2 linked regions of the Coturnix japonica genome follow. The protein of the gene in region 1 purifies or fractionates together with the protein of each later gene. This does not show direct contact. Links are inferred from orthologs where the notes say so. Each region holds a gene or a part of one and is shown on either strand. Other genes may lie near its edges.

The links.
Region 2: the proteins of DERL1 (region 1) and alpha-1-antitrypsin-like purify together in Homo sapiens (affinity purification with western blotting; 4 studies listed by BioGRID). This does not show direct contact. The link is inferred for Coturnix japonica from reciprocal best matches to the Homo sapiens genes DERL1 and SERPINA1.

The regions. Positions count from the first base shown.
Region 1 is NC_029517.1:124,314,835-124,318,484, forward strand, and holds part of DERL1 (derlin-1), read right to left. Parts: intron 2,726-3,650; coding exon 2,630-2,725; intron 2,045-2,629; coding exon 1,992-2,044; intron 848-1,991; coding exon 737-847; intron 1-736. UniProt on the Homo sapiens protein: Functional component of endoplasmic reticulum-associated degradation (ERAD) for misfolded lumenal proteins. Forms homotetramers which encircle a large channel traversing the endoplasmic reticulum (ER) membrane.
Region 2 is NC_029520.1:41,319,683-41,323,918, forward strand, and holds the start of alpha-1-antitrypsin-like, read right to left. Parts: upstream 2,920-4,236; 5' UTR 2,812-2,919; intron 1,182-2,811; 5' UTR 1,165-1,181; coding exon 513-1,164; intron 1-512.

The DNA.
Region 1 (3,650 bases):
TAAAAACTTGCACAGGAGGTGCAACTGTATTTCCACTTTTTATCTTTTAACCTTTCTACAGGACAAACCTTTAACTAACCATGTTGCTAACTGAAGTTTGGTAGAGGCACTGGTATTTACAACTCAAATGGATGTGGACACGGGGAATTGAAACTGCAGTCTTTGGCTTCTGATCTTAATATTCCAGTGCCAAAACAATGAATAAGTTACAAAAAGAGCACTTTAGAATCCAAGACTTGAATTCTCAGCCAGGGTGTCCAACACCAACTGCAGAGCAGATACATATAATGGTGCCTAGCAAACCTACAATGGATTTCTGTCATTATGTATTGCTTAACTGGTAGTTACTGTAACAATACATGGAAATACAGAAAAAGGTTGTTTACAGGAAATTATTTAAAAAGAATCTGATGGATACTGTTTGATAATTGGCAACTGTTGATAATTCTTTACTAGTTTAATTCATTATTAGAGGCATAGCTTTTCCTCTTATTCTCAAGAGCAGGTATAGAACACAAGCTACCCACTGGGGAAACAAAGAACACTGACCACCTCCAATGAAAAGAAACATTTTTGATGTCACAGTCTATACACTACAGCACAGCCACTATATGCTGAAGCACACTCATTTAACGAGGTATTTTACACTTTGCAATCCCAGAAGATATACGACCTTATAAACAATCCTGAAAACTGGTCCAAATAAACAGTGAGCTACAGCATTAAGTCAACTTACAAGAACTGAGGTGTGGACAGAAAATTCCTTCCTCCCAGATCCATTGGATATTTAAACATTAGGAAGAAATACAGGTGTCCAACCAGATTTCCTATGAGCTCATTGATGACTCTGCAAAGAAAAAGAACAGTTTCGCAGGCTGTTTTCCCCAGCAATAAATGAATACTCATCTTCTGCCAGTTACCACTGTTCACCTGCCACAGGCACTGCCAGGGCTGTGAACTACAGAAATTTCCCTTCCCTCAGCATTTTGCAGCCACTTCTTTAGAAGGGCCAGCATTCAGCACCAACGCACCAACAGGCTGTTCCAACCCTCCCTTCCAAGCCTTCTCACAGACTGTACTGAAAATGCAATTAAATGCTTGTTTACCACAGAGAATTAAACCCTATAGCCATCAGTGTCTAAAAGAAAAGTTGGTAGAGCTTGAGAAGTCCTTGCTGTTTTTGCTGGACAACCTGTCTCCTGCTGTACTGTTGTGTTCCTAATTTTGCAGGAACGCTGCTGAATGGAGGCCCTTGAGTGTTTTCTGTCATGCACAGAAACAGCAGGTATCTAACAGCAAGCAGTCTTCTCAAGTAATGGATGAGTCAGTAGGAGGCACAGCCAGAAAAGGGAACTGAGGTTTATTTTGCTGTATTCCCATCTCCTCCTTTTATAAATCAACCATGCAACTTGCTGTTGTCACTGTGTTACAGCGGCACCACGTGGCCACAGCCAATACAGGGCACTAATAGGAAAGACTGCACAAGCGGGACTCTGCATCACTACGCTCAGAGAAATGCAAAGCAGGCCAACAGACACAGAAAGTGCTAATATGGTACTCCACAGACTTGCAATTGTCTTTTCTCCGTGTTTCACATGCTGATAAAAGCTACACATTGGATAAGGTTCTGATGGAAAGAAGAAACACTGCTTAAAAGATTCAAATTAAGTTTGTTTCTAAAAATCAGCAGCGATGACTGGTCTTACAGGATGAAATCTTTCTTTGCTGGGCATCATGCTTTTAGTAAGGAAATGGCCTAATGCAAAGATCTACCTGAACAATCACTTTACTATTACTTTCTCCTCACTTAGCTCTCACATCCATAGCTCCTCTTTGCATTATCTTAAACAATCACCATACAACACTGACCAAGATCAGACCGATTATACAGCTCTAAGCCTCTTATTTTAGTAACGCTGCTGATGAGAGTGATAAGAGATAGCTGTAAAAGACTTCACAACTTTAAATAGGCCTTAATTGTAAATACATACGATCCACCAATGATGTAGTTGAATCCCAGAATAACCCAGGGTAGGTAACAGGCCTGAAAAAGAACAGAGATACAGAAATTGTACGTCCAAGTGTGGAATTTGAACCTGCTTAAGATCCACTGCACTACTAAGTATGATTAGACTCTCAGTTTTTAGCAATGCGCAGATCTTGTTATATTAACTTAAGTAGATTATAACCAAAACAGCCGTTGCTTTACACTGAGAAACCACTAACGTGTGGACAAATCATACTTGTTTTAATATTTTATGTAGATACATCTTCTGCCATTTACATTTTCATCACAAGACGTGGCAGAATCAAACCAATCTGCACAGGAAAGAGCAGTTTCCAAACATTTTCTCACTATTGTTCAGCTTTTAGTCAGGTTAATTACTTTTTTCCCCCTCTTTTGTTCAGATCAATGAATTTCAGTTGTCACTCAGTGTGGTTTTACTGAAGAGATGTCCTGGCATCGTATGGAAGACATCAGAGAGAACTGTCTTCATTGCATGTGAAGGACTATATGTCTTCATGAAAGCATAGGACACCCTTAATTGAAGAAAATACTTCTTTTTCATCCCTCATTCCCTTTGTAAGCGTATTCCAGGCAGAAACCTTCCCAAATAATCTGACTTACCTTAAATCTTGTTCCAAACCAAAATGATACAATCATGTCTCTGTTCAGCTGGGCCCACACATAAAGTACTGACATGATGAGCGGAATCATCAGCAACTGCAATGTTAAAAAGACAAAAAGTTACCATCAACTTCACAGACATCTGAGAAACTTCAACAGGCAGCAGAAGCTCTAAGGTTTAAAAGCACAATACATCATCAAGTCTTGAAAGAATGCCTCAGAATCTTCACCACCACATGCCATGCATCTGCACACAAGATCAGAATGCTAAGCAAGAGAGCATACTTAGTCATTCTCTTTTGCTGTGCTGGAAAATATTCTGTTAATGAAGACAAGTCCCCCCTACTGGGTTACAGTATATGACAGCTTCAGTGAGCACGTAAGCCCAAACAGGTGGTGTAATTCCTGAAAAGGTACAAAATTACCAAGTCACATATTATAAAATAGGTTTACCCTGAGTGTCTGAGCAAACATGATTATTTCTCCTCACTCCTAACGCGCAGTCCATGCTTCAGCACAGAGCTGCAGAGACGCACCAAAGTATCTCAGGCTTTGAAGCAGGGTAGCAACATCATCACAAGACCAAGTCAAAGGGCTCCAAAGCAACTAAGTGAAACAGTAACCACTACTCCCAGATGCATGGTAACACACCTACAGCAATCAGCAACATTTGTGCCACAATCATTTCAACGCACAAACCAAAGCACCAACCTAAACACGTACTCACCTGAGACTACACTAACATGCCAGATTAAGGGTTCCTGCATCTAATTTCCAAACCCTGTGTCTCTCATGCCACCACCCATGGAAGTTGTGCTGACAACCCCTTCAAAGTACCACAGCCAGACATGGCAAAGTTACCTTGGTAGAGCAAGGAAGACCCAGCTGTCCTACTCTATAATCTCATTTTTCAGGTAAAAATGGAGGTAATCTTGCACAGAATTAGGGATATTGGTGCGAGCTTTGGGTGGTGGGAACAGAAGTAAGATGAGGACAACAGCAAAGGCGCTGAAAACAAGCA
Region 2 (4,236 bases), on another chromosome or scaffold:
TTAAGGATTCTTGTTCCCTGGCAATGGAGAGGAGCTTTGAATCATTTCAGTCATTTGAATAAAAATCACAAAAGACAGTATAGGTCAAGGAAAAGGCCAGAGCCTTTATCTGCTTCTATGAACTGACCTTATGCATTCTCTGAAATTATTCCCTTATTATGCTTAATTCATATTTTATTTTGATTGTGTCTTGCCCAGCAAAATAATTGTGCCTTTCAAAAAATGATAGTAAGCTTGCCCTTTCTGAATACTTTTAGCTCTGAGCCTAATTTGAGATGATACAGTATTGGTTGGTACTTATATCCTTTTATTCCTTTTTATTTTTTACTCATAAAAATTGATTCCTTATATCTGCCTTTCAAGTATTTCCTTACTTCATTTAGAAGAATAAAGATATAGTTTAAATTGTATGGTAGCGTAGGTTAACCATGGGAAAAAAAAATCTTGATCCTTGACTTGGATCAGACTTCTACAGCCTATATTTACAACCTTAACCAATGTTTTTCACTCACCTTTAAAGTAAATGTAGTTAGTCAGAATCATCACTGCATCTTTATCAAGGCTCTTCAGTAAGTCTACAAATTTACCATGGGTCTTTTCTTTTATGTAGTTATTGATTTCCTTTTTAGCATGTTCAGAATTTTGGAAATCCATAGAAACAGCTTCTGAATGATAAAAATTTTTGACATCATCCAAAAATTTTTGTTGCAGTTTCAGTCTCTCATCTATGAACAGAGTATTGCCCATGCTCAATTGAATCTCTCGGTAAGGGTCATTCAGCAGCTGGAGGAGATGCTGGAAGCCCTCATGGATCTCCTGCTCTTCCATCTCTGTCAGGTTGAATGTGAGGCATTTGTGCAGCTGGCTGAGTGTGTTTGATCTAGCCCCCAGTGAGAGCATTGCAAAGGCAGTAGAAAGGCTCAAGGGAGAGAAGAAAATGTTCTTGTTACCTCCCTCCTTTGCAACCTGCTTGTAAAACCTGAATGCAAATTCAGCATTGCTGGGGGCTATCTTCATGTGAGCCAAGTTTTCACCTTCCACATGCCCATGGTGTCCTATGGAATGAGGTCTCTCTTTCTTATGTTTGTTGCTGTGGTTGGGGTTAGGAAGCGCCTGGACTTGAAGTCCAACAAGAAACAAACACAAATACAATACAGGCTTCATTTTCCTTCTGAATAATTCTGTTGAGAAAGGAAAGATTACCTTGTAGAGAATGTTATATTTCCTGCATAAAAACAGTTCATTTTGTATTTGAAATACTGATTTTCATATGCCAGTGTTTAGGATTGCTACTTTCTTTCTATTGGGCCTCATCGCTAGTCCATTTCTGGTCTGCTCTATTTGTTTCCAACCAAGATACTAACATGACACCACTAGGGAAGAAATGATTCTGTGCTGGTTTTTGTGAGGTGTTGCTTTTTGTGAGGCACCTTATCTGAAATTGTCCTTGTGTCTGATCAGCATGGCATTATTGCATTTCTAAGGGTATCTGTGTATACAACTGAGTTTGCATATTGTTCCTATACATTCAGGAAGCACTTTGGCAGAGCACAGTAGACATAATCTTGTGATGACTTGGGTTTTCATGCACTGCAGTAATGAAGAGGTAACATCAGTTATAGTAGAAGAGAATCCATCTGATGCTTCACCATTTAAACTGTATCTTTCTGCCTCTGGTACAGCAGCTCTGAACTCAAGAACTGTGTAATTTCAGCACATTATCTTACATGTTTCAGTAAAATGAGGATAAATCAAGAAATTTTGTTGTATTTCTTCATTGCACATAAAGTATCCATAAGGCTATAAAACTGAACACACAAGAGTTTAGGAAAAGCTAGAGCAGAAGCTTAATTGTGGCCTTGCTGTGTATATATTTGGGTAATTGGATGACCTTTCGTCTTCCTTAAACTGATAGAAACAAATTCTACATAACCCCACAGTTTCTCTTCTTCCCTTTTTAGGAGATATTGTGGAAGTATGTTCTCCATAGAATATATCATGTAAATTATCTCAAATCAGAAATCTCAAAAACATAAAGGAGATAGCGTACTTCAGGAAAACAGAGGTGATGTCACTGTTCAGAGCAATAGCATGATTATTCTACAGTGTGTGAATCTGCCCCATGGTTTACCTCAGGTTGTGTCTGAAGCCAGGTTTGGGTCCTATATCAAACATTTCATGGAGAGTTGTTAAATTTGGATTTCTTCTTATGTGGCTGCCCTTTATGAAACACTTGAGATCTAAGATGTCTAAGTGCTGAGTGTGGGAACTGTGCTCAGTTTGCCTAAAATGACAGATAAAATTATAGACAGAGAAAAAGTAAAATCTAAATGAAAACAGTACACTATGATCCTGTAAATACTCTGTATGTAACACCAGAAATCTGCTTCTGAGAGAGATTAGTGTCAGCCCCTGTGCCACTTAACTGCAGTGTTTGAGGATGGTTGTGGTATCAATATATTACTCTCAGCTCCTGCGCTAGTCCTGTATCAGCCTAAAGTATCTAGGACATCGAGCTGCAAGTGAATTTACTCCTCTGGTAGTAGAGGCGGGGTTCAGTGTTTCACCTTGGGGTGAATGGCAGCTGAACATTCACTTTGGACCTCATCTCCCTTGTCATCCTGACACAGTATCTAAGAGCTGCATCACTGATGGAATCCCATTCTCAATGCATAGACCATGGTTCCAGAAGATAGATTTCCAACTACGTATTCAAAATAAAATCATCTCATAATTAAATACTATGTATTAAATTGCAGAGATCATAGACAATACAAGTTCAAATTCTTCTAAGTATGATATAGTACTTACAGTGTAGTTTAAAAAGAGTCTGCTGGACCTCTCATTCACAGTGCTCCTTCCCTACTCTCCGTTTTGCTCGGTAATATTAAGTTAATGTCCACTGGTAAATATTAATCAAAGCAAATAATATTTATTTGTAAAGCAAAGAATGAGTTAGCTACTTTTTTTTCTAGACATCAAACATCGTAACCCAGTTTTTCAACACATAGGTGAAATGATGCCAACATCTAGGGCTCAGAGGGTAAAGAGCAAGGTTCACACTACTCTTGCATTTGTGCAAACCTGTGGGCAAAAGCGCTTTGCATAGCACACTACCTTGGGATTTTAAAATCCACACAGTAAGAGAACTGGAAATCTAAGATAGGTGCTGAGTGATGTCTGGTTGTGAAAAGGGTAGTTTGTCCTACAGGACTCTCCGCATGGGATATCCTGATAGAAGGATATCTAATCAGCTACCTGAAGCACCAAAAAGCTAGGTCAGGAACAGCTCAGTACCTCCATATTGCCCTGCAATATGTGTTGCAGGGCACATTGTAAATATACTCTAATGAGATAAGTTGCTTCAAATGTAATGCCTTTTATTTCTTTCCATGGGGGAAAAAAAAAAAAAAAAAAAAAAAAAGTACAAAGAGCTCAATAACACTATTTGGTGGAGCAAATTGTAAGCTACAAAATGCTATTTCTTGTGATAATAACCACCATGAATTGATTTGTGTGAGTGAGATGACTGAGATGCAATCCATACCACAGTGTGACAGCTAGATTTGTATGTTGGAAATGTGGCTTGTCTTTCACACAGCTATCACCATTCCTGAAATGCATCACCCTCTGCCTCACTGTGTTTGCCTCTACTGCTTGGTCTCCAGAAGTATTTGGCAAGTGTTGATGAATGTCAGTAGGTGCACATTTTTCCACCTGGAGGAATTCAGTGGCATGCCTTTGCTTTACATGCACTTCCATGTCAGATACTCTAACAAGGGGCATGGCAAAAAACTTGTTATTCCAGTGTCTGAAAGGGAATTATTACTATCCTCCCATCCTACATCTCCTTTTTTCTAGAAGCCCTACCAATATTACAGATTATCGCTGTTTCATCCAACACCCACTCAACAGCACACTTTGTAGAGTTCATCAGGATTAATTTGCCAAACTCAATTTTAAACCATCCTCAGGGAGGAGCAGACATTGATTTCTATCCTCCAGGACAATATCCTTCACAGTACTCCAGATCTAATGCTAACTCTACTCTTGCAGTTTCAGCTTAATTAGGATGTTGGAGTCGTAGGATTGTCCATCTTCAGGTAAGGGAGGGCTGTGAAAACATGAATAATCTTGAATATCCCTGTAACCAAGGCAAATGCTCTGATTGCAGAGATTGGTATGATGGGTAACTGTTGCCTTAGAAAGGTCAGGTTCCACAGAGGAACTTGTTCT